Linked DNA regions of Lytechinus pictus. The protein of the gene in region 2 purifies or fractionates together with the protein of the main gene of each other region. This does not show direct contact. Links are inferred from orthologs where the notes say so. Each region holds a gene or a part of one and is shown on either strand. Other genes may lie near its edges. The genes, in order: serine/threonine-protein kinase Nek9-like; activating molecule in BECN1-regulated autophagy protein 1-like; 60 kDa heat shock protein, mitochondrial-like.

What was found.
Region 1: the proteins of activating molecule in BECN1-regulated autophagy protein 1-like (region 2) and serine/threonine-protein kinase Nek9-like purify together in Homo sapiens (affinity purification with mass spectrometry; 3 studies listed by BioGRID and IntAct, with this or other methods). This does not show direct contact. The link is inferred for Lytechinus pictus from reciprocal best matches to the Homo sapiens genes AMBRA1 and NEK9.
Region 3: the proteins of activating molecule in BECN1-regulated autophagy protein 1-like (region 2) and 60 kDa heat shock protein, mitochondrial-like purify together in Homo sapiens (affinity purification with mass spectrometry, with the first as the bait; 3 studies listed by BioGRID). This does not show direct contact. The link is inferred for Lytechinus pictus from reciprocal best matches to the Homo sapiens genes AMBRA1 and HSPD1.

Annotation. Positions count from the first base shown.
Region 1 is NC_087251.1:9,671,921-9,679,332, forward strand, and holds the start of serine/threonine-protein kinase Nek9-like, read right to left. Parts: upstream 3,316-7,412; 5' UTR 2,862-3,315; coding exon 2,706-2,861; intron 1-2,705.
Region 2 is NC_087253.1:10,978,034-10,986,060, reverse strand, and holds the start of activating molecule in BECN1-regulated autophagy protein 1-like, read left to right. Parts: upstream 1-4,741; 5' UTR 4,742-4,815; coding exon 4,816-4,947; intron 4,948-7,687; exon of another isoform or gene 7,688-7,777; coding exon of another isoform or gene 7,778-7,816; intron 7,817-8,027. UniProt on the Homo sapiens protein: Substrate-recognition component of a DCX (DDB1-CUL4-X-box) E3 ubiquitin-protein ligase complex involved in cell cycle control and autophagy.
Region 3 is NC_087257.1:28,130,049-28,137,606, reverse strand, and holds the start of 60 kDa heat shock protein, mitochondrial-like, read right to left. Parts: upstream 3,303-7,558; 5' UTR 3,112-3,302; intron 1,821-3,111; 5' UTR 1,805-1,820; coding exon 1,613-1,804; intron 994-1,612; coding exon 658-993; intron 15-657; coding exon 1-14. UniProt on the Homo sapiens protein: Chaperonin implicated in mitochondrial protein import and macromolecular assembly. Together with Hsp10, facilitates the correct folding of imported proteins.

The DNA.
Region 1 (7,412 bases), on a different chromosome or scaffold from region 2:
ATTTTCTTGATTATAAATATATGTCATATTCCCAACCCCTGTTCCCAACCATTTCTAAGTTAATTTTTTAACATTTAATTTTGTATGCTACAGAAAAATAGAGTGTTATGGAAAGACATAATACTGTAGTGTAAAAGACCACCAACAATTTAAAATTTAATTTAACTTGCTAATAAGAGGCCAACAAGTAAAATGGAGCTGGAAGAGTTTTTTTGCTGTTGTTGTTGCTGCCACTTTAAAATTTTGAACAATCCAAAAAGGGGCCTAAAAAGACCATGATGAAAATATACGGTATGGTATGGTCCCCCAAGACTGCACTGTCCCCCTTGTGTGTGCACACACGTACAGTGTATCTGCGTGATTCCAGTAAAAGAAGATACACAACGACCGTCAACCTTACACCTGCATATAATAATACACAGACAGATATTGTTAAAAATTCTACTCAAATGGTGGAAAAATAATGAATTTGGGGCATTTTATGTGAAGGCCTTAAAATGCAGCTTTTCTCATCAAAATGCTGGAATCGCGTGCAAAGTGAATGGGTGCGCAGACATGGGGCACCAGTTTTTGTTCAATCTGAAAATGACTGCCCAAGGTTTTTTCTAAGAAACTTATATACATGTACATGAAGGTTCTATAGGCCTATTTCTTTCAAGATATTTGGCACATAAGGCATATAATCAACTGAAAGAATTTGTGAAATAAACAGAAATTTTTGTTAAATCTCAACTGAAACCGTTACTAGGGGAGCAGACTTGGGGACTACTGTACGCATCATAACGTTAAGGTTACATCATTTATTTGAAATTCATCATTAAATCCTTTGAAGCTAAATCGTAACAACATTTAACAACAAGCTTAATGAGCTTTAAATTTCGCCCAACTTAGATGGCCAAAGTTTTTCATGGGTAGAAATTGGAAGGGCCAAGTCTGTGAGTCTGAGAATGAGCAGTCACTCACACTCACAAGCTCACAGAACTCATTCCCAATCTCATCACTCTAACTTTTTAGATCTAGACTATTGCTAGACTCTTGACTTTAACAGGCGCATAGCCGGGGGGCGGTGGGGGCAGTCGCCCCCCCCAAATAAAAACATCCCCAAAAAGAAAAAAAAAGAAGGGAAAAGAGAGGAGAAAAGGAAAAGCGAAGGGAGGAAAGGGAAGAAAGGTAGCTTTGTGGGTTTTTCTTTTTATTCTTTATTTTTTTCTCCAAAAAGCAACTCTGTGACTCTTGCTCTAAATTTATATATATATATGAATTTTGCTTCCGCGCTGTGCGCGGTTAAATGACAATATGGCAGTTCTCCTTTGTTTCCCTCACCCTTTCTCTAACCCTGTTTTTCCACCTCAGCTATATGTGTTTCTTGCCAGTTAAAGTTCAAATGTATACATTAGGGCATAGAATTAGAGTAAGGTTAGGCCGAAGTATATGAATTTATCTTTTTTTCTTAATTGATCGCGCAACTTCTGATCGGGTCAGCTCCGGGCGGGTAAAATCTTTATCTCAATTTATGCCGTCATCTCCATATAGGCAACTTCTCCCGCTTTTCAGCTCATTACTAAACAACCATAATTTGGGGGCAAACAGGTTCCTAATTTAAAGAGGAAGGTATAAAATTTGTGTCGTATTAAATTAAAAAAAAGTACAATATCTTTTTATCAAATTCTATTCAACTTCATGTCATTTCCCTGCAAATTCATCTCCTGTCCTGTTTGCACCCTCAGTTTGAAATTTTGAATGACACTATAAGTTTCTTTATCATTCAAAGTGAAGCGCATCAGGATAAGTGAAAGAAATTATACATCATCCTGTTTTATATAATTTCAATAATCACAGAAGTTTCAACTTTCTGCGCACTATTTTCCTTTTAATGAAGTTCAATAATCTTAGAAAATTAATTGCATTAGAGCTGATGGGGTATTTATTAGAGATATCTGCATTTGATGAAACGTCCGCCCTTTGAAATTTCAGAGTTTCATTGCTCTGCGCAGGGAGGAATATCTTCCTCCCGGCATATATCCTTCTTCTCCTCTGTTTTGCGATTTAAGATATGCACTGTCGCTATATTGTTTGTAATCAAATCTGATCTTTCCAAGGGAAGTATTCAATATAACTTAGAAAATAACCTTAATTCGGGACCATTTTCTTTGCAATAAAAAATTATAAAACGCTTTAGCTTCCGCACTTCGCGCGGGGTTCATTATTATTTAAATTTCCTCCATTTTATCCCTTTTTTGTTTGTTTTACAATCACTTTTGAAAACAAGGTTCAAAATCACAATATAGTCAAATGAATTGGAGCTGATATAGGTACTAGAGACAAGGGATGCGGCTCCTTTTTATTTTAATTTATGAAACACCGAAAGCTTCGGCACGGGAGGGGGAAACTCCCCCTCCCTGCACCCACCCCCTAGGGAGCGCGCATCGCGCGCTCTGTAAGTGTTGGTATGCTTCGCGTGCATTTACCGCCCCCTCCAAAATGAAATCCTGGCTACGCGGTTGGACTTTAACGTTAGACTTTAATAAAGTGAGTCGATCTCTATTCTAACTAACTGTCTGTAGCAATAGCATTGCTGTTAAAAGTAAAAAAAGTCTTACTCTCAACTACACACTCTCGGTCTCAACTACGTCTCATATTTCATAATCATATCCATCATGAGTGACCATGGTCCATGCATCTCTCTAACGTTAATAAAACCTCACCTCTGTTTTCCTGTAGAGAACTGCTTCACCAAAAGCTCCCTTTCCAAGCACTCTTACAGGTGTGTACATTTCCTCCTGTATCGTATCACTGCTGTTTGCACCGGCAAGGAAATTTGTTGAGCTCGAGGAGGAAAATCCCCCATCTTCTGTAGACATTATTGAACGTCTCTCTGATTTTGGAGCAATAAAATGAAACAGAGGGGACCTCAGGCTCAGGAGTATTAACTCATCAGCTGGCTTGAGTCTTGAGAAGGACTGTCACATTCAGTGTCATACAATTTTTTTACAATACAACTTAAGTAAGTAAGCTCGGGGGGACAGTTTGGCTACGCCGCGGTACGAATGATCGGTCGTTCGATGTGCCTCGGCCGTCGGTAGGGCGGAACTCGGAGGCAGGCTCCCGCTGTCGATTTAAGCAGAGCTAGCTAGCTAGCTCGCTGCGAAAGATCCGAAACGAAGCTCAGCTAGCGGTACGGTATACAAATACCGGTATACACACCATAGAGTTATAAACCTAAGTTAACTCTATGATACACACACAGATCAGTACGTAGTTAGTATACATCTCTATGGGTACAATAAGTCGTCTAAGTGCCTGTAGATCGTGCACAAATTCGATTCGGCCAGCATCAAAGATATGTCGATCCGAATTCTGATGAACACGATCTGCAGGATGGAGCTGTCGAGAGTGTCGGATATCAGTTAGCCATACATGCAGCATCCGAGGGGTTTCGTTCAAGTTTTGCCATAGAGACTCTTGCAAATAAATAACAACAACAAAACAAACTGACAAACCAAATTATTTCATTTACATTAACACATTGAAAAACTATGGCAAAAAATTAAAAGCCAGAGTTTTTTTTTTATGCAACAGGCCCCACCAGAGACCATATAATAATAATGATAAGAATGCACCTTCTATCTAGTTTCATATTCAGAGACGCAGAGAGAATAAAAACAAAGAAGGTGAGTGTTATTTGAAATATGATGAGAATAGATATGTCTTTACGATGTATTGAAGAATGGGGGGCCATGATGCCCCCCCCCCCGCCCCCTTCTGATCTCGGCCACCGATCGCGCTGGCGCCGAAATTTGGCACGCAAAGTCTTTACCACAAAAACTACAAGCCTGTATGAAACAAGAATGAAAATAATTATTTTTCATTTATTTTTAATAAAATATGACAATTTATTCATGAAAAATATATGCATATTTAACACCCAAATTCACTTCAAATAAGTTCTTCTCTTTTTTCCAGATGTCATCTTTTGTAATCTAATGAAAAAGTTTCCATAAAATTGCGAAAGGCAATTTTTTTCCTTATGTATTGCTTTGTTTTTAGAATTTCTTATGACTTTATTTGTTTTTTATCTTTTGTTTTTCATTTATTTCCAATGGAAATTATTACAGACCATTTAACAGCTAAATTGAATCCTATTTCAATTAAGCAGGCCAATTATAACGAAAATGATCACGCTTTTATGAATTTCATCTCCTACTGACTTTGTACACAAAGTATAAAAATGAGCCATTTTTGGCATGACATATCTTGTCTCGTAAAAAAACATGTGACGTCGCGATGCTATACCCGTATGTCGCGAATTTGGTCTCACAAGTTGCGCGAGACTTTTAAAATTAAAGTCACAAAAGTTTGCGGCGCTATCTTTTTGCGTTTCGAAAATATCGCGTGAAGCGTTGAGGGGGCCATCATGCCCCCCCCCCGTCCTCTTAGGGTTAAGGTTGCCTATGAATAACTCCATAGACTTGGCATTGGCATTGTTAATGAAGAGAGTACATTCTACAAAATGGGAGTGCTCATACTGAGCAAAAGCCTTTTCACCAAATGAGCATTTGACTATATAGCAGTTTTCAACAACCCGGTCATAGCGTATGGAAACCGATTTCGAATTAATAATATTCTCCCCAAAATGCACTTAATTATTTTCCCCCATTTTGGAGCCATGGTTCTCAAGCCCCCCCCTTCTATATATATAAAAAAATCGTAATAGTTGAAGGCAGTTTGAAATATACTTGGTGAAAATTCGTGCATCCTATCATTTTGAACACTGTTTTGAGTCCACTTTAATTTATTAAGCCTTTACATCTACTCAAGTTCGGTGTAATCTATTAGCAATTTATGTGCTCATTATGCTGTACTCCATATCATACTCTAGTTCTATTTGCTCTATAATTCCAAATAAGCTCTCTATATAGGTCCTACTCAAGTTCAATGAGCTTATACTGCTCAATAGTCGATTTGATGTGCGCTGTTCCCAGGTTCATATATAACACCTTAACAATTCTAAATGAAAAATAAGTTGACAATAGTGAGTATAATAATCAAAGGAAAGATATGGATAAATGTTTTTTTCGTTTTTCCAAGTAAAAAACAATCAATGGTTTATTAATTGTGATTGTACTTTAGTAAGGAGGAACTTTCAACATTTCAATCACTCTTCCTTGCACTTGTTTCCAAATCGGTGCACCTGTCAATGCCTGATACGTGTTAAGGACAAGTTAGCTTTCTCTTTTCCTAATTATAATTGAACTGATAAAAGTCTCCGATAGCACGCAGATTAAGGTGATGGGCAACAGGCCTCGGGAATGTACTTTCAGAACCAAGTAGGGCGAAGGTTGCCACCTTATGGTATATAAATAAGAGAGAAACGATAGATTCTATTGAATAAGCACGCAAGCAGACCCATCAAAGCTTTTCACTAAAGTCTGTGAGATCGGAACGAAAATGGATGCTTCTCTCAAGTTTTTGGCGGGAGTTGCCTTGGTGATGTTTGTGTGCATCAACGGGATGATAGGACAGCAGCCGCAGACGATGGATTTGGTAGAATCCGCCAAATCCCTTCAGGATCTTGCTCACATTGCTGTAGTAGATGCACTATCTTCACTCCAGACAGCACTCTCTTTACTTGATTCTCAGGTATTGCCATTATATCGTTTTGAATAGTTGGTTTAATTTCTTCTTTTATTAATTTCAGTAATAATGTATCCAAATCTGCCGTGATTATCACAGATTCATTTCTGGATTTATATTTGAATTCTTAACCCTAAAAGGAATTGGCTATTTGAGATGTATTGAGGATGGGGGTGTATGATGGCCCCCCCCCTTCTGATCTCGGCCGCCGTTCGCGCGATCGCGCCGAAATTTGGCACGCACATTCCTTACCACTACAATTAAGCCAGTATAAAAAAATATTCTGAAAATAATAATTTTTTATTTATTCTAAATAAGTAATGCAAATCATCTTGAAAACATTATTTGCAAATTTAACACCCAATTTCATTTCAAATTTTCTTCTTTTTTTCCAGATGTCATTTTTGTAATCTAATGTAAATTTTCCCACAAAGAAAAATCGCGAAATCTAATGTTTTTCTTATCTATTTCTTTGTTTTTAGAATCTCTTATGTATTTCTTGTTTTTTCATCTTTTGTTTTTCATTGTTTGTTTTTTCAATGGAAATTATTACAGACAATTTAACAACTAAAATAAACCATATATTAATTTAGCAGACCAATTAGAACAAAAATAATCACCCTTTTACGAATTTGATCTCCCATAGACTTTGTACACAAAGTATAAAAAGGAGCCATTTTCGGCATGACATTGTCTCGAAAAATTCACGTGGCGTCGTGACGCTGTAAATACCCGTATGTCGCGAATTTGGTCTCAAAAGCTGCGCGAGACTTCAAGAAAAAAGTCACAATAATATCGCGGGAAGGGTCGAGGGGGCATCAGGGTCCCCAGTCCTCTCGGGTTAAGTCATTTGTAATTTGAAAATAACTCTTCATATAGATTTACAGAGTATCTAGAGATTGATTGGTCATTTAAGACAATTGTAAGGGATAAACTTTGTGCAATTTCATGTTATATTGACATCACATCTCTCAAATGGGCCTATTAAGTCAAAGATAATGCACGTTTGTGATTATTATGGGTATTCACCTATGTTGAACCTTTGTTTCCGATATTTTTTTTTCAACACAAATAGTTTTATTTTGTCTTTTTCAAAGATTTTATATTTTGACAGTGATGAGTCAAAACATCCGCGAAAATACAAAGCAAATCAGTTTTCTCAAAACAATCAAACTCGTGATGGGTCTAATTCACCTTGTTGCGATTCCTCTGTGAAATTATATTGAATGAATTACATTTCTTTTAATCTAACATCATAGTTAATTTATGAGAATATTTATGAATAACAAATACGTCTTTAAATGAAATACCGATAAAATTCAAGAATATAGAAATAAGCAAAATTATCTTGTTTGATCTTTATTTCATTTCCATTTAACCCATCTTTTAATACTCGTATTTCTTTCTTATTTTCTTCTCCCCTTTAAAAAAAGGCTTATAAACAGCTGCTCTATTGAGACACGGATGTTTTTAATATTTTTCATATCCTTTAATACTATGAAACAGGCTGGGTTATCAATGAACATCATTTGTAATATAATTGAGAATAAGTACCAAGTGCCTAAAACTAAAGTGATTCTTTTAGTTTGTCTTTATTCTTTTTAGATGAGAATTAATGACTATCATTCTTATTGCATTATAGTTGACATAATTTTTATTCAAAGACCAACTTTTATTTTCCCTTCCTCATTAGTGGTCAAAACTTGAGGCTACTGCGAAACAGAAGAATCTAAACATCGCATTCATTACTGTACCTGCAGGTAATTCAGCAAAAAAAT
Region 2 (8,027 bases):
AAACACAGTGTACATGTATGGTAAAAGAGGCTGCTATGTTAGATGTTTTGTCCTTGTCTTGTATGAGAAATCATCCACTAATAAAAATGAATCGGGATATTCTTTAAATTGCACCTACATGCATTTGCAGTGTTTTGCACACAATCTGAAAGGCTTAAATTATGGATATCCACATTATAACATTTTTGAAAAATATAGAAATAGGAAAAGAGATAAACAAAGAAGAAGCAATTAAGGCATAGTAATATTCATTCTAAGTATCACGATTGTTAAAATATTGAATATAATTCTCTTGATGTGTTAAATAAAACATGCAAGTATATTATATAAAACAAACATAGAATTTGATTTAAATATACTTTAAGTCTTGCTTGAATTGAAATCAGCTTGTTGAATATGACTAAATTGTAAACACAAACTTTCTTGTTTCTTATTTTGCAATTTGAGTAGATACATAAGCTTTTCTCTATTTATTTTTCAAGGTTGAAGTGATCACTATGAAAATGGGCATTTCCTTGAAATGATAAACAGGGTATTTAGTATGTCTCCCCTCAATTTTATTATTTTTCTCAATGTTTACTTTATTTCATGAACTTTAACATCAATCTATGAGAGTTTAAGGGCATCACACATTGAACAGTAAGCAGAGGTGATCATGTCTGTGGGGTCCTGCTTGTGGAAACACAACATTTGCTCTGGGCTTTATTTCGTCTAAGATATAGGGTTGGGGTTGCAATTGGGTTTTATGCTAGGTTTAGGGTTCGGTTTAGGATAGGGTATAAGTAAATGCAGCATTGAAGTTGGTCATTTGATTAATGTTTGGAATTTGCAGCCGGAGCTAATGTCACAAAACTCCTGTTTGTTGGGGATTAGATATAATCAGGGTGACCAGAAATGGACAGTCAAAATACGAGACACTTCGATGTCTGGGGAGTGTTTCATCAACATTTTCAAGTTGTCAGATCTGGTAACTGTCGGATAAAATGGGACTTGTCGGATAAAACGTCCGACAAGTCCTTTTATAAAACACTCCCCAGATCAGTGGCGTAATGAGCTGAACTTTTATAGAATGCAAAATTTCCAAAAGGCTACAAGCGAGCGACCAAAAATTTGGGCATTTAAAAAAACCGACATTGGTAAAAGATGTTGACATAGTATGTAGACAACATATATTTCATCCTCATTTTTTCTTGCTATGTATTTGAGAAAAAAAATGGTAAGGTTTGAATATTGTCACATATTTTTGTGTTAAAAATCTTGAAATACTGGACAAAACGGCATCCTGGACAGGGTCTCACGGGACAAATGGCTGAATTACAGGACTGTCCCTTTAATTCCGGGACGCCTATGGCCTGTCTTACTAAGAGTTACGATTGATCCAATCAATCGCAACTATGGAAAGCCAGCAAAGTCAACATCATATACAATGCATGTTTGCTCAAATTTTTTCTAGATATGAATGTATATCCATAAATTCATTGATTTCTTGACAGTTCGGTTTGTTCTCCTTTCGTTACAATGGAAATTTTGCACATTTCCTGTAGAACAAATTATGACACTGATGGATTTCCAGAGTTGTTTGTTTTAAAAAAAATTCTAGATATAAATGTATCTCCATAAATTCATTGATTTCTTGACAGTTCGGTGTGTTCTCCTTTCTTTACAATGGACATTTTGCACATTTCCTGTAGAACAAATTATGACACTGATGGATTTCCAGAGTTGTTTGTTTTAAAAAAAATTCTAGATATAAATGTATCTCCATAAATTCATTTTGCACATTTCCTATAGAAAAAATTATGACACTGATGGATTTCCACAGAGTTACGATTGATTGGATCAATCGTACCTTTTGGTAAGACGGGGCCCAGGTCACCCTTGATATAATGGCCCATTTGAATTGGATACATGTTTTTAAGACATTCACTATTTTATTTTTTTTTGAATTTTTAAAAATACTTTGTTTGCTTTTCCATCATGATCCAGCAACCTACACAGTAAAAACGTTGTTTAAGATTTTATACAACGCTGTTTAAGATTTTATACAACGCTGTTTACTGTATGAACCTTACAGTATTTGTTTAACCGTTTAAACAATCATGTTTAATTTTTTGAAGATTAGATATTGAAAATTAAACTTTGTTGCTTAAGATTTAAACACTTATCTAAAATGTTTAAACAACTACTGTAAGGTTCATATAGTAAACAGCGTTGTATAATTATTTTTTACTGTGTATAACTAATTAATCTTTGTGGAGGAAACCCTGTCATAGATAGTAATATGTATGCTGTTCTCCACTTTAAAAAAAAATTATTTTTATGTACATGTATTAATGTATTATTTACATTGTATTTATCTTGTTCCTTGATTTTGTTTTTTCCAAAGAAGTAGACTGTATATAAACAGAGAGAGAGAGAGAGAGATGCATGTACAGTATGGCATTTAAGTTAATATTTGAGTATTTTTTCAAGATTTCTTGTAGGGGACCTGTTTCACAAAAAAAAAGATAAATTATGACAATTAAATGCCAGGTTTTCAGTAGCTTGTAACAATTGTAACTTGCCAGTGGAGGGTTTGTGAAACAGGGCCTATAATCGAATTGATGCAGGTACTTATTGGATTTTGATCTCAACATTGTTCAGACTCACACATGCCTTTGCATGGAGTGCGCTTATGATAAGTGCGCTATGAACGCCTAGCTTAGCCGGGTAATATAGGAGCGCCTTGAGCACCTAACAAGGTGGATATGTGCGCAATATAAATACCCTATATTATTATTATTAAGAGCGATTTTGCTGTATTATCTCTATGGTAATAAATATACTGTAAAAAATCCACAATTAACACTTGTTTTTGTTTTGTTTTTTTGCTTCTCAATATTCCATAATGACCTTGTGAGCTTAGGAAGGCATGTAATGAGTTGATTGCTCTAATTCTTTGATTTCTTTACTTTTATTCACACCTGCGGCCCGTCTTACAAAGAGCTGAGATTGATCCGATCAATCGCAACTATGTTAAACCAGCAAAGTCAACATATAAAATGCATGTTTGTTCAAAATATTTTCCAGATATGAATGTATATCCATAAATTCATTGATTTCTTGACAATTTGGTGTGTTCTTTTTTGTTTGCAAAGGACATTTTGCAAATTTCCGGTAGAAGAAATTATGACACTGGATTATGACACTGGATTTCCATAGAGTTACGATTGTTTGGATCGATCCCAACTCTTTGTTAGATGGGGCCCTGATAGTTGTTAATTGGAACTTTCCATTCAACGTTTTCTGTATTTCAGGCTGAAAATAATGACATCTCAAATTCTAAATAATACACTCTTAAAAATGTTGGGCAACATACACTGCATGTCCTCACGGTTACACTTCGTAATTCCGAAGGTTCTTTATTCCGAAGGTTCGTAATTCCGAAACACGTAAATTGCCTATACCTCGATGTTCGTTAATCCGAAAACGTAAAAGGGTTCGTTAATCCGAATGTTTGTGGCGTTATTCCGAAGGTTCGATAATCCGAAAACGAAATAAGGTTCGATGTTCCGAAGGTTCGTTAATCCGAAAACGAAATAAGGTTCGTTAATCATTTCGTTTTCGGACTAACGAACCTTCGAAATTACGAACCTCATTTCGTTTTCAGATTAACGAACCTTCGGAATTACGAACCTCATTTCGTTTTCGGACTGTCGAACCTTCGGAATTACGAACCATATTTCGTTTTCTGATTAACGAACCTTCGGAATTACGAACCTTCGGAAATACGAACCTTCGGAATAACAGAACCTTCGGAATAACGAAGCTTCGGAATTACGAATGTATGCGGTCCTCACAACTATTGGTTAAAACTTTATCCAATTCTGGTTAGTTTTAAACCAATAACGTGTGGTTTGGGTTACAACTACACAGTATTGGTTGAACTTGAAAACTACCCAAAGTTGGATAATTTTTTTAACCGATTGTTGTGTGCAGTGGCTGAGGTGCCGTGGCCGAGTGGTCTAACTTAAGGCGCCTGGCTATACATGGAAAGTCGACCCGTCCCCCTTTTGAGAAGCCAAATTACAGCTGAGAGTGGCTACCCTGGGCCGGGTAAAATTACCATTAAAACAGTATACCCTTCTTTGAAAGTGATCAAAGACCTTTTTTGGGGTTGTATTTTTTACTTGTAAGATTATTGCGACGAAATATCATTATTTGTTGTTAAAAACCCTTTTTTTTTTTTGGGGGGGGGGGCTTATCAAATTTTCCCCGGAAAAATGTGCCCCCCCCCCTTTGGAAAATCTTGGATCCACCCCTGCATGGTTATTAATTTCGCGTTTCGATGTCGTCGGGATGTGGGGGGTCGGGTGTCCGGACACTTTATATTTTTGAAGCCTTCTTTTTTGTCTTTGGATTACACTAAAAATACGAATTCAATACTTGTAATCATCTTCTATTTTGTTCTTTATATTATTTCCTAACATTTTGTACTAAAAATTGATGAAACTTCACTTGTAATTTTTTCCAAAATACTTTCTAAAATTGATCGTCCGGACACACAACCTGTCCGGACACACAACAACTGGGTATATTGTATATCTCCCAACCAAATGCAAAGCAAGTGTATTGTATTTGTACGTACGAATAGGGGTGTCCTCAGCAACAGTCACACCCTAAACACAAGTCCCGACCGATCAAAGCTATTGTGCTATCTTGAGCTTAACGGCACACGATACAAATCGATCGACTATTTTTGCGTTTGCGTGTGACTGTTTTGCCACGGTTGAAGCTGCTGCTTGCGTCTCCACCTAATCAAAAAAGAGGGACAAAATGAAACGCCCGAAATATTTATTGCGAGGCGTAAGAGATCGGGAAATTGGGATTAAAAGGAAGCCTGGAAGTAATGATATCCTTAGAAATTATGCAGATTTTATTAGTGCCAAGTATTCTTCTAAAATTGTGGTAAGTAAGACGAGCGTTTGTAATTCTTTGGTCCCGAGTGCTTGTTTTTATGTAGTGTTGACTGTTGGCCTTACGTTATTGCTCAATTTGACCAGTGGCACGACAAAAACGCGACGTTAGTTAGTATTTCCTGATATACAAAATGTACTCTAAATACCACAGACTCTGTTTATGATTTTAGGCTGATGAAGGAGTGTGAACCTTGGATTTTGGAACATGTTCTGTTTATTAAAATGTTATATTTTCATTATTTTTGTCTTCGGGTCATTCCACGGGGTTGGGGCAACAGCACTTTTTTGTGTTCCCTATGAATTGTTGGCTTTATCCTGAAAATGTGTTTGGCGCTTGGATGTTGCAATGTGGTTTTGTTGGAAGGCAGTTATGTAAGCAATTACTTGATGCAGAAATAAAAATGTTGAACCTCAAGTATTTTTGATGGTGAGACTTTAAATGATGATGTCCAGACTCTTTTTTGGGGTACCAAGTGTGACATCCAAAATGGTCATTTTCAGTTGAAGATATCTAATTGAAAGATAAACTTAGTCAAATTCAAATGGCCATGATTGATAAAGCAACATTTGTTTAATAACAAAACAGTAATGGGATAGCAAATGAAAAGAGGCTTCATATCATAAATCATTCCTACAACATCGCATACCACCGTTACATGCGATGTCCGCGTTTATTTTTTTCTGTAACGGCGGTAAACTGGTAAATAACTAAAAGTCAGAAATCATTCTTTCCAAAGTTATGTGTCAGAAATAAAGGGCAGGCAGTAAGCAACTTTTCATCAAAAGATTAGCTTTGAAAACCAATGTTAATGTCATGTAAATTAATCGAAGTTCGCCGATGTTTTGGGCGATGTCCGGGCCAAATTTGTAACGGTGGATCACATTTCATCGCGTATGTAAAAAGGAGAGACCGGAGAAGAGACCGTCGTTGTATCAGACGGACGGGATGTTAGCCGAAATCCACGTGCACATGAACGGCTATGATATCGGGTGTTATGCAGCATTGCAATTGGGAATCTTCCTGCAATGTCCGTGTAACGGTGGATTGGATCTCCACGATGTTTTCCCTTTCAAAGCGACGTAAGTACGGAGATTTATCCCGATACTCGTATTTTTAAATCAGTTAAACCTTATCTTAAAAATGTGAAACTATATTATCATGCAGAAAGTGTTTTTAAGTTTGAAAAATCTCGCTAATTTTCCATAATTTTTTACTACAGTCCCACATGTATCTTTTCGTGTAAGTGAAATATGTGATTGAGACATCGCCGTGTTTGTTCCAGATTTGCTAAACGGCCCCAAAGAAATAATGTTTTTATTACTGTGATTCCGTGCAAACATGTTTTGAATTTTAGCTGACATGATTCAATCGCAATTTAGTTGATTTTTTAAACACCGAAATATGTTATTTCAATAGGCCAATGGATACTCAAAACTGCTCTATCACCGATGATCATGCTGACATCTCAGATTTGGTACAAAATCTCGCGGCTTTCTCGCCTTGTTTAAATTGGCTCCTACTGATTCTACGTAATATGGGTATCAAAGACCTGATGATCAAATTTGAATTTCCCCCAAAAAATGAGAGTTTAGAACCAGTGGCAGCGCCACGGGGAGGCAGGCCCCCCCCCCCCCCCATTTTTTTTTTTTTTTTTTTTTTGCTTGTCAGCTGATCCCAATCCGAAAGGGGGGGGGGGCAAAATAATTGTTCTGTTACTACCCCCTACACATAGTACATGTGCTTTGTGTATGATGAAGCATGGCCATAATCCAATTACTAGTAATTCTTGGCTGTAGGCCTAACCTTCCCAAAACTTTTCATCTTGTTGAATGTTATACTTTTCAGCACATTCTTTTTTTCTCTCAATATTTTTTCAATATTTTGTATTTTGATTTCTATATATTAAATTGTAAGGAGAGGGGGGGGGGTTCGTTTTATCAGAAAGCAGAAGCCTGTGTGATTGTTTTCAATGTGATTTTTTTTTATTGCAATATAATGAGTTTTTTAAAACATGTACAAGTGAACAAAAGAAAATGTGACACAATCAAGTTTGTTTCACAAGAGTTTATTTGCTGTATCAGAAGGTAAATTGCAGATTTGAATTCCATTAATTCATTTAATTCCAATAAAACATACATATATTATGTAATTGCTTGAACAATTAAACTTCAGCGATGAAAATTAAATAGGATGGTCATAAAAAACTAAATGGAATTGTCTAGATAACCACCCTTGATTAGAATGCAGAATAAAATTAGATTAAATTAATCCATTGAGAAATGAAATTGAAGTACAGATAATTTATGAAAAGGTAATGGGCAAGTAATTATATTGTGAAAACAAAGTAGAACACAACAACACAAATACAAAAACCTTCTATAAAACGTAACTTTATATTTAATTCATGAACTATAAAATGATGAATTCTATTTGCTATGAAAAAATACAAAGTGAAGGTTCTTGTGTATTTTGCAAGAACAGATCAGATTCATTGTCCCTAGTAATCCACCCCCTTTAATGAGAAAATGTCAAGACATAAATAACTAAATGATTTGATATAATATAAAAAATATTTGCTTATTGCTTAAAAAATATAGTCAAACTTCCAAATACTATTTTTCTCAACTACAGGTAGCCTCTGTTCAAGGTGAAAATGTATATCTTCAGTACATGAAGTGTCAATCTGGTGACCTGTACTCCTGGCCTGATGGCGAGGCACAATTCTACCTCCATCCACTTTGTGACATTGACAGAATCCTCTTCCAAACTTTCTTATTGGGTCACCAGTCTTCTTGAAGTTCATAAACTTGTAACCTGAATGCAGAGAGAAATATTGCATGTTAATTTTAATAGTCAGGTTTAGTGTACAGTGTAATACATTTTTTTGCATTTGCCAGTAAGAAGTTTACCAAAGAGTTCTTGCAGTTTTATTTTTGAACATTAGAATAGCTTAACTACATTTTACTTTCTTGCTTACAACTCTGTTAAAAAAACAGAAGATATAAAGGTGGTGAGTTTTTTTAATTAAATTTGTCCACTAAGTACTTTACAATTGTCCTTTTCGCATG
Region 3 (7,558 bases), on a different chromosome or scaffold from region 2:
GAGATGGTAGCAACCTGTAGCAAGAGGAAAGTAAAAGTGAAACTGGCTATAATTGAGTGAAGCTGAATTTTAATCATAGAGTTGTCAGGTTTTGGATAGTTTGGTCAAAAAATTGCTTAACATATGAGATTGAATAACATGAGGGTGATTTAAAGTGGCACAATTAACTGTGGGTCATTCTCAGGGATACAGAAGCGAGCGATAGTTCCATGTCACAAGGCTGATGCTAAGGCCCGCCTTGACTACATCCCTGATCGTTATCAACTAGAAAATATTCAATTCACGACTATCACCTATAACTGATTGGATAGAGTGCGTAATTGAAAAAGCAACTTGATAATCGTTGCCTCATAAAGGCTGTTATTTTACTTTATTATAATTTGATTTGTAAACTGGAAATACCAAATTTCTTCCTCTTCAAAAGCAGCATTGGCAAAGTAAAATATTGCTTGACTGTACAACCTACTGAAAATAGCACAAATGATATATTCCAAACAGCACAATATTTATATCTGAAATACAGAGTAGTAAAGTTTTGTTAACCCAATATAGACTGAAGCTGCATAATGTGGGCTGGGGTCCATAGAAAATATGTCATAGTATAAATTGCTAGTCTCCAATGGGTTAATTAGGTATTTAACAAGTAGGACAGTTCACCTGTGCAATTTCTTCTGGTGTTGTAACTGGTTTGGACTGTCTCTGTAACTCCTTAACAACGACATCAACAGCGTTCATAATGCCCTTCCTGATTTCTGTAGGGTTGGCTCCCCTGCTGATGTTATCAAAACCCTCCTTGGCGATAGCTCGTGCCAATACTGTTGCTGTCGTGGTTCCATCCCCGGCTTCTTCGTTCGTGTTATTTGCAACGTCCTGGACAAGTTTAGCTCCAACGTTCTGCCATTTGTCTTTGAGTTCAATGGCTTTGGCGACTGTGACACCGTCTTTTGTGATTTTAGGACCACCCCAGCTTTGCTCTATAATTACATTACGTCCCTGTCAATTACAAAAAGGGAAAGTTAGCATGATGGAAGAAAGTAGAACGAGCAGTCAAGGACAAAGATTTTGGAAAACTTAGTTAATTCAATAGCTCTTGAGGAACAAGTGAACTTGTTCATACACACAACAAACAAACAAAAGAAGCCACCTTGGCAGTGAAGCACTTTTCTTTTAACATTAGCCTACATAAATAAATTATACAATTTTTGTATAGAGATGGAGGACAATTAAGCACAGAAAGAAAAGATTATCAGTTATCTGATCTCATCATCTGATCCTGAAAAATTGCTTTGTCTTAGAAGGTTATTTGACTTACAGCAGGAATCAGTTGGCTGTTTGATTGATTAAACCTATCTGCTACAACAAAAAATCATCTTTTTATGGCAAGCAAGAACAGGCTGATAAGTGACAAACAAACCAAAGGATTGTTTTGTATGGCTCAAAAAGCCCGGAGATGCACAATAGATCTCCCACAGCACTGTACATACATGTATAACAAACTGTACAAGAAAAAAAATTTCTTCATTGCTGTCTCTTCAATTTGAAGTTAAATTTAAATGCTGGCAAATTCCCACCAAACTAAGAAACCCCTGCCCCCTATTGACCATCAACTCACTTTGGGGCCCATTGTGACTGCTACAGCATCTGCAAGGAGGTCAACGCCCTGAAGCATCATACCCCTAGCCTCTGCACCAAACTTGATATCCTTGGCATAGCTTCTGGCAAGATGTGGGCACACGACTCTGTTTACTGATGGGGTCAGGGCCCGGGAGGTCAAAGGTCGGAGGACGCTGGATAGTCTGTACATGATGGAAGCTTGAGTGCTGTAGGAAAGGAAGACAGTGAGAATGTTACCTTGTTCATTTATAAGCTCGTTGTTTTGTGAAAATTTTGAACCAACTAAAATAAACTAAAGTTGACCAAGCACTGCCTGGCTTCAGTTTTTAGTTTGCTGAGGCATGCCTAAGCAACAGTGGTGGATAAAGGGGTGGTCCCAAACATCGGACATATCGGCCGATTGTATTGGAAATGCGTGCTGTTGACGTGCGTGCACTCGTTTTCAGAACAAAGTCGCTCGCAGCTAAGCGAAGACATCCGATGTTCGGAGTAGTTCAGATTGGACCTTGGTGTTTGGAAGTTCTTTTCCTAAAGCTAACATAGCATAGAGGGCACATGACATGACTCCCACTCTCTAATCAGCACCAATCCACGGACTCATCTTCCCTCCTCAGGGAAGATGGCGCTGATTCATTGCTCAGACTCAGAGAAGATCAGTGGCTCATGTGCCCTCTATGTTAGCTTTGGGAAAGAGAACTTCCAAACACCAAGGTCCAATCTGGACTATGTTTGGAGCAGAAAGAAGTCCGTTTGGTAAGTAAATTATCATTACTTACCGATTTCTATATAGAAATTGATACTGTAGTTATATAAGCAGGGGCCGCGGAACGGTTTTCAAAGTGGGGGGGCTGACCGCGCAAAAAATCACAATCATATGGTCATTTTTACGTTTTTGTACACGGTTTTGGAAAAAAGTGGGGGGGGGGGGCTGAAGCCGGTCCAGCCCCCCCGCTTCCGCGGCCCCTGATATAAGTAAAATCGGAATTTGCGTAGGGAAAGTAAATTATTTTATCAACAATTAGCCTAAGCCTTTTAGTATTACAGAGACCGAAGCTTGTTACTAGTTTTGGTCAACAAAAACTGTCTGTCTTGTAGTTGTACTTGTAAGTTGTAGTTGTCCTTGTCATGCTTGTCATCAGTCATGCTTGTACTTGTACTATGATAACAATCGACAATATGTACTAATAATATTGGTTGAAACTGAAAGAAACAGAAGATTGCAAGATCGAACTTGTGTTGAAATGACATTTAAATTGTGAAAAGAAATGTGGAATAAGTACTAACCATGCTAACATTAATAGAAAAGAAAGACAGAGCATTCAGATTCAGAATCAGAGTCAGACTAACGTTAGTTCAGACATCCAGAATTCGGCAGAAATTAAAAACAAAACTTAAAAAGAATGTTGTTGGGGGCACACTTCACTTCTAATTTGACTTCTAAAATGTGCCTATGCGTTCAAAGAACAAAGCTACATTAATAAATAAAATCTTACTTACGCCTTATGTAAATAGAAGATGAGATTTTGTTAAGTTACACCACCAGTTTGTCCAGGGCAGGTCTTCGGGGGAGTTACGGCTGAGATCAGTGACAAATGCCGGTAAACCAGCTCACGTTGGTTGCACGCGCACGTGTAATCTCGAATGTTCGCACGTGCTGCATCAAAGCCTCGCACGCACGAATATTGCATAATCAAGGGCATTTAAACATTTTCGAGTGCCCTGCACCCACATAACCAAATAAATACACATCTCATTGGGTAAATTAAACGTAGAATTGATTGCTTTGAAATGATGTTATGGCTTTTTTATTTTTATTGATATCTACAATATTCAATGATGGGACAGTGGGAGCAATTTATGGCTTTAAAATCAAGAAGTTTTTCATAATTTTATATTCATACAGGTTACAGGGCTACCCTTGAATTCTACCGTCATATGTAATCGATTAGAACACAACCGATGGGATGTTAGACTCTGTTTAGTCATTTATCTAAATTCATTCAAAGACATGCCTATAAAAGGTATAGTCTGCAGGTACAGAATTAGTTTGCGCAATTAGTGCTTAATGCAGAGTCTGAAGTAGTGAGACTTTTTTTTTTAATAATTCTGTTTTTATTATACAAATTGAAATAAATCACAAAATTTACAAATGATTAATAGGTGATTGCAAATCACATAAACACAATTTAGTTACACAAAAAATAACAACCATAATAATAATTTAAAAAAAAAAAAAAACCTACCCACTTATCCTCCCCCACCCCCCCCCCCCAAAAAAAAAGGAATGTGGCAATGCGATGACTTAATATCAGTGTTATCTAAACAAAGATAGGTGATTTGGTAAATAAAGTAGACAAAACAAAATATACAAGCTATGATTATATGAAGTGGTTTCCAAACAACTATTCATAGGATTAAAAAGCACAACTGGTTATCCAAGACGACATAATTATGGAGGTTTTTAAACGAATAAGTATATCAAGGTGACTGAGATACAAGTTGCATGAAAAAATGGGATCTGATGTCTACAACCATAATTATAACCAATACAGTGCAGTATTATATAAAAAAATGGGACACTAAACCTGTTATACAAAATATACAGTGTTAGTTATCATGTAACCTATACTGACATTTTTTAAAACCAAATTATAAGGTGAATCGCCACTTCTTAAAGTGAGCGGGCAACTTATTTTTTTTCTTAGCTATCAAATATTCCAAGTCTTGTTGTTTTTTAACAAATGTTTTAAAATGAGCAAAACTTGGAGGATTATTCTTAAATTTACATGTATGAATATAATACTTCAAAAGTAAAAAAAGGTATGAAATGAACTTATCAGTTGAGAGTCCGAACATTTTTTCAAAATTAGAACCATTTATTTGAACATTATTTTGGGAAATTTTCGTTAAAAGGGATTGCCAAATAGGAATTACCCTTTCACATTCGCAAAACAGGTGGATAATTGTTTCCTCACTTTTATCACAGAAAACACAATTGGGTGAATCCTTAGATTTAATCTTATACAAAAAATCATTTAATGCTATGGCTTTATGAAAAATCTTAAAATAGAAAGATCTTAATTTAGTATCAATGGTACAAAAAAAAATTGTGTAGTGTACCTTTTCCCAATCGATAGATACTGGTATTGGTAAACGTTCATCCCAATAAGAGTATCTTTTGTCAGGTGTGTGTGATCCCCTAAATAAAATGTATGAATGTCTAGGGACTTTTTTATAACTCAACAATTTATGTACAATTGTTTCATGAACACCAATAATATCAGGGTCAAAACTCACCAACCATTCTTCAGGGATGCACTTAAGTAAAATAATTATATTTCCTTCTGTCTGTTTGGGGGATTCCAAAATCTAACACAAGCTCTTCAAAGAGTTTGTGACCTAAAAGAGGAGGATTAAATAAGTCAGATAACATTAATACATTTCTCTCATGCCACATTGGATAATTAAGATACTGTTTAGATTTTGAACGAATCAATTTGTTATACCACAGGAGTTGACAACCACTCAAATCTGAAAAATGTTTACCATAACATTCGACAGCAGCTTCCTCCCTAAATGAATACCACATTCTCAATGCTTCAGCTAATTGTATATTACCAAGACTGTTTAAAATGCTCTCAGGAGCATGAGATTTCCACAAAATTTGAATATCATGATTAATTTTTTCTAAAAAGGCTACTTCAATCTTTTTCCATGGAGCATCAAAATTCTCATCCAATAGGTGTTTTACCCAGACCATTTTTTGAGCACATGCAAAAGAAAAAGGGTCAATCATTTTTAGTCCAGCCTGAGTATAATCATTACACATTATCTTACGTTGAACTCTATCCTTGCCTCCATTCCAAATAAATTTAAAAAATAATTTATTTAATTCTTTAAAAAAGGCTCTGGGTAATTTAACAGAAAGAACAGAAAAAAGATAGATTAACTGTGGCAAAATAAGAGTTTTGACAACACAGATTCTACCAATTAGAGAAAGGTTTCTAGTTCGCCAGCAGTTTAAAGTTTGCTCCATTCTTTTTAGTTTCTCTTTATAATTTAACTCATAAATTTGTGCAACATTAGACAAAGATTAGAGTTTGGCATCTAGTCTTTATTCTAGACATGGTTGGTTGAATTATAAGTGTCAAATATGAGTATGTGCTGGGAGACTATTTAAGTGACTGGAAATGTGCCCGGGGAAATGCTCCCATGCGGCATTTTTTCAAAGGACAATTAGTCCACCCCAACAAAAAGTTGATTTGAATAAAAGGAGAAAACCCCTACAAGCATAACACTGAAAATTTCATCAAATTTGGATGTAAAATAAGAAATAGAAATGACATTTATAAGTTTCGTTTAAGTTTCACAAACAATATTCACATTCCTGGTCGGTACGCAAATGAGGGGACTGATGACATATATCACCCACTCACTATTTATTTGTATTTTATTATATGAAATATTCTAATTTTAGCCTCATTGTCCTGCGAAAAAAAGTTAGGCCTATATCCCCGCGAGGCTCATGTGGTATACCATATTGTTATTATGTTTTTTGGTTCAGTAATATAAATCGGTAAAAATGGAAATACTGTATTATTCAAACAATACAAAACAAACGAAATAGTGAGAATAGACATCACCGACTCTCTAATTTGCATATCACTGATTGTGCATATACCAAGGAGATATCACTGTATAACTCCTTGATATAGCTGTTTTGTGAAAAATAAGCGAAACTGTTATTAAGTTATCCGATTTTGATGAAATTTTCAGCGTATTAGGCCTATAATGCTTGTTTGATTAAAATCAAAACGTTTCTTAGATGGACTTGACCTTTAAGCTTTAGTGCCAGACATGCCACAGGGGCCTGGATTTTTTTTAAGATGGGGTGCTGGCTTGTAAAATTTTGACAGTCAAGCAAATGAACATTTGTAAAAATAAGTTTCACTCCAGAACTTGATGAAGGTGAATTTGATCAGAAAAAAATTGAATGAAGAAATGAATGAATGAATGAATAAATAAATAAATAAATAAATGAATAAATAAATGAATGAATAAATGAATAAATGAATAAATAAATAAATAAATGAATAAAAACAAATAAATAAATGAGACTAAAAAAATAAAGGTTTTCACTAGAGGTGCTTTCGATTAGAAAAATATGATTTGACAAGCAGGAGGAAAAAAGTGTTTTGTTTATAGACTCGCCACTCAGTTGCGCCCACTTTGGTCGGGTGCGATAACCCCAGCACGCCCACTACGTAGGGCCTTGCCCTTGACATCTCAATTTTTCATTAAAATTCTGTGTTATTTCCATTTAAAAGTTAATTGTAAGCGGACTATCTGGGATATAGGACTTTTGCTCAAAAAAAAAAATAGATTTTGATATATTCAACATAGGCCTATAAATTATATCGCCCTTTCCTATCATAGAAGTGGAACTTGAGTGAGGGTGAATTCATGCAGAGCTAGCACAAATTAAGTCACCCCACCCAGGACCAAAATCCAGTTGAAACCAATTAGAGCAAAACGAATTGAAACCAGTTGGCCAACTGGTTTCAATAGGGAAATTGGAACAACTGATTCCAAATGAAACCAGTTGCCAATTGGTTCCAGTTAAAACCAATTGGGCAACTGGAACCAGTTGGCAATGGGTTTCAATTGGTTGAGTTGAAACCAATTAGGCAACTGGTTTCAATTGGTTCCAATTTCCCTATTAAAACCAATTGAATCCAATTGGAAGCAACTGGTTTCAATCAGGGGTTCCAGTTGGAACCAATTGAAGGCAACTGGTTTCAACCAGAACCAGTTGAAACTAATTGGTTTCCAACTGGATCCGATTGGAACTTCCAGTTGGAATGAATTTAATTAGTTACAAATTTTGCCTCCGACGAAGATTCTGCTAGGATCGAAAGCTTAGGCCCCTGTTGACTTTCTATAG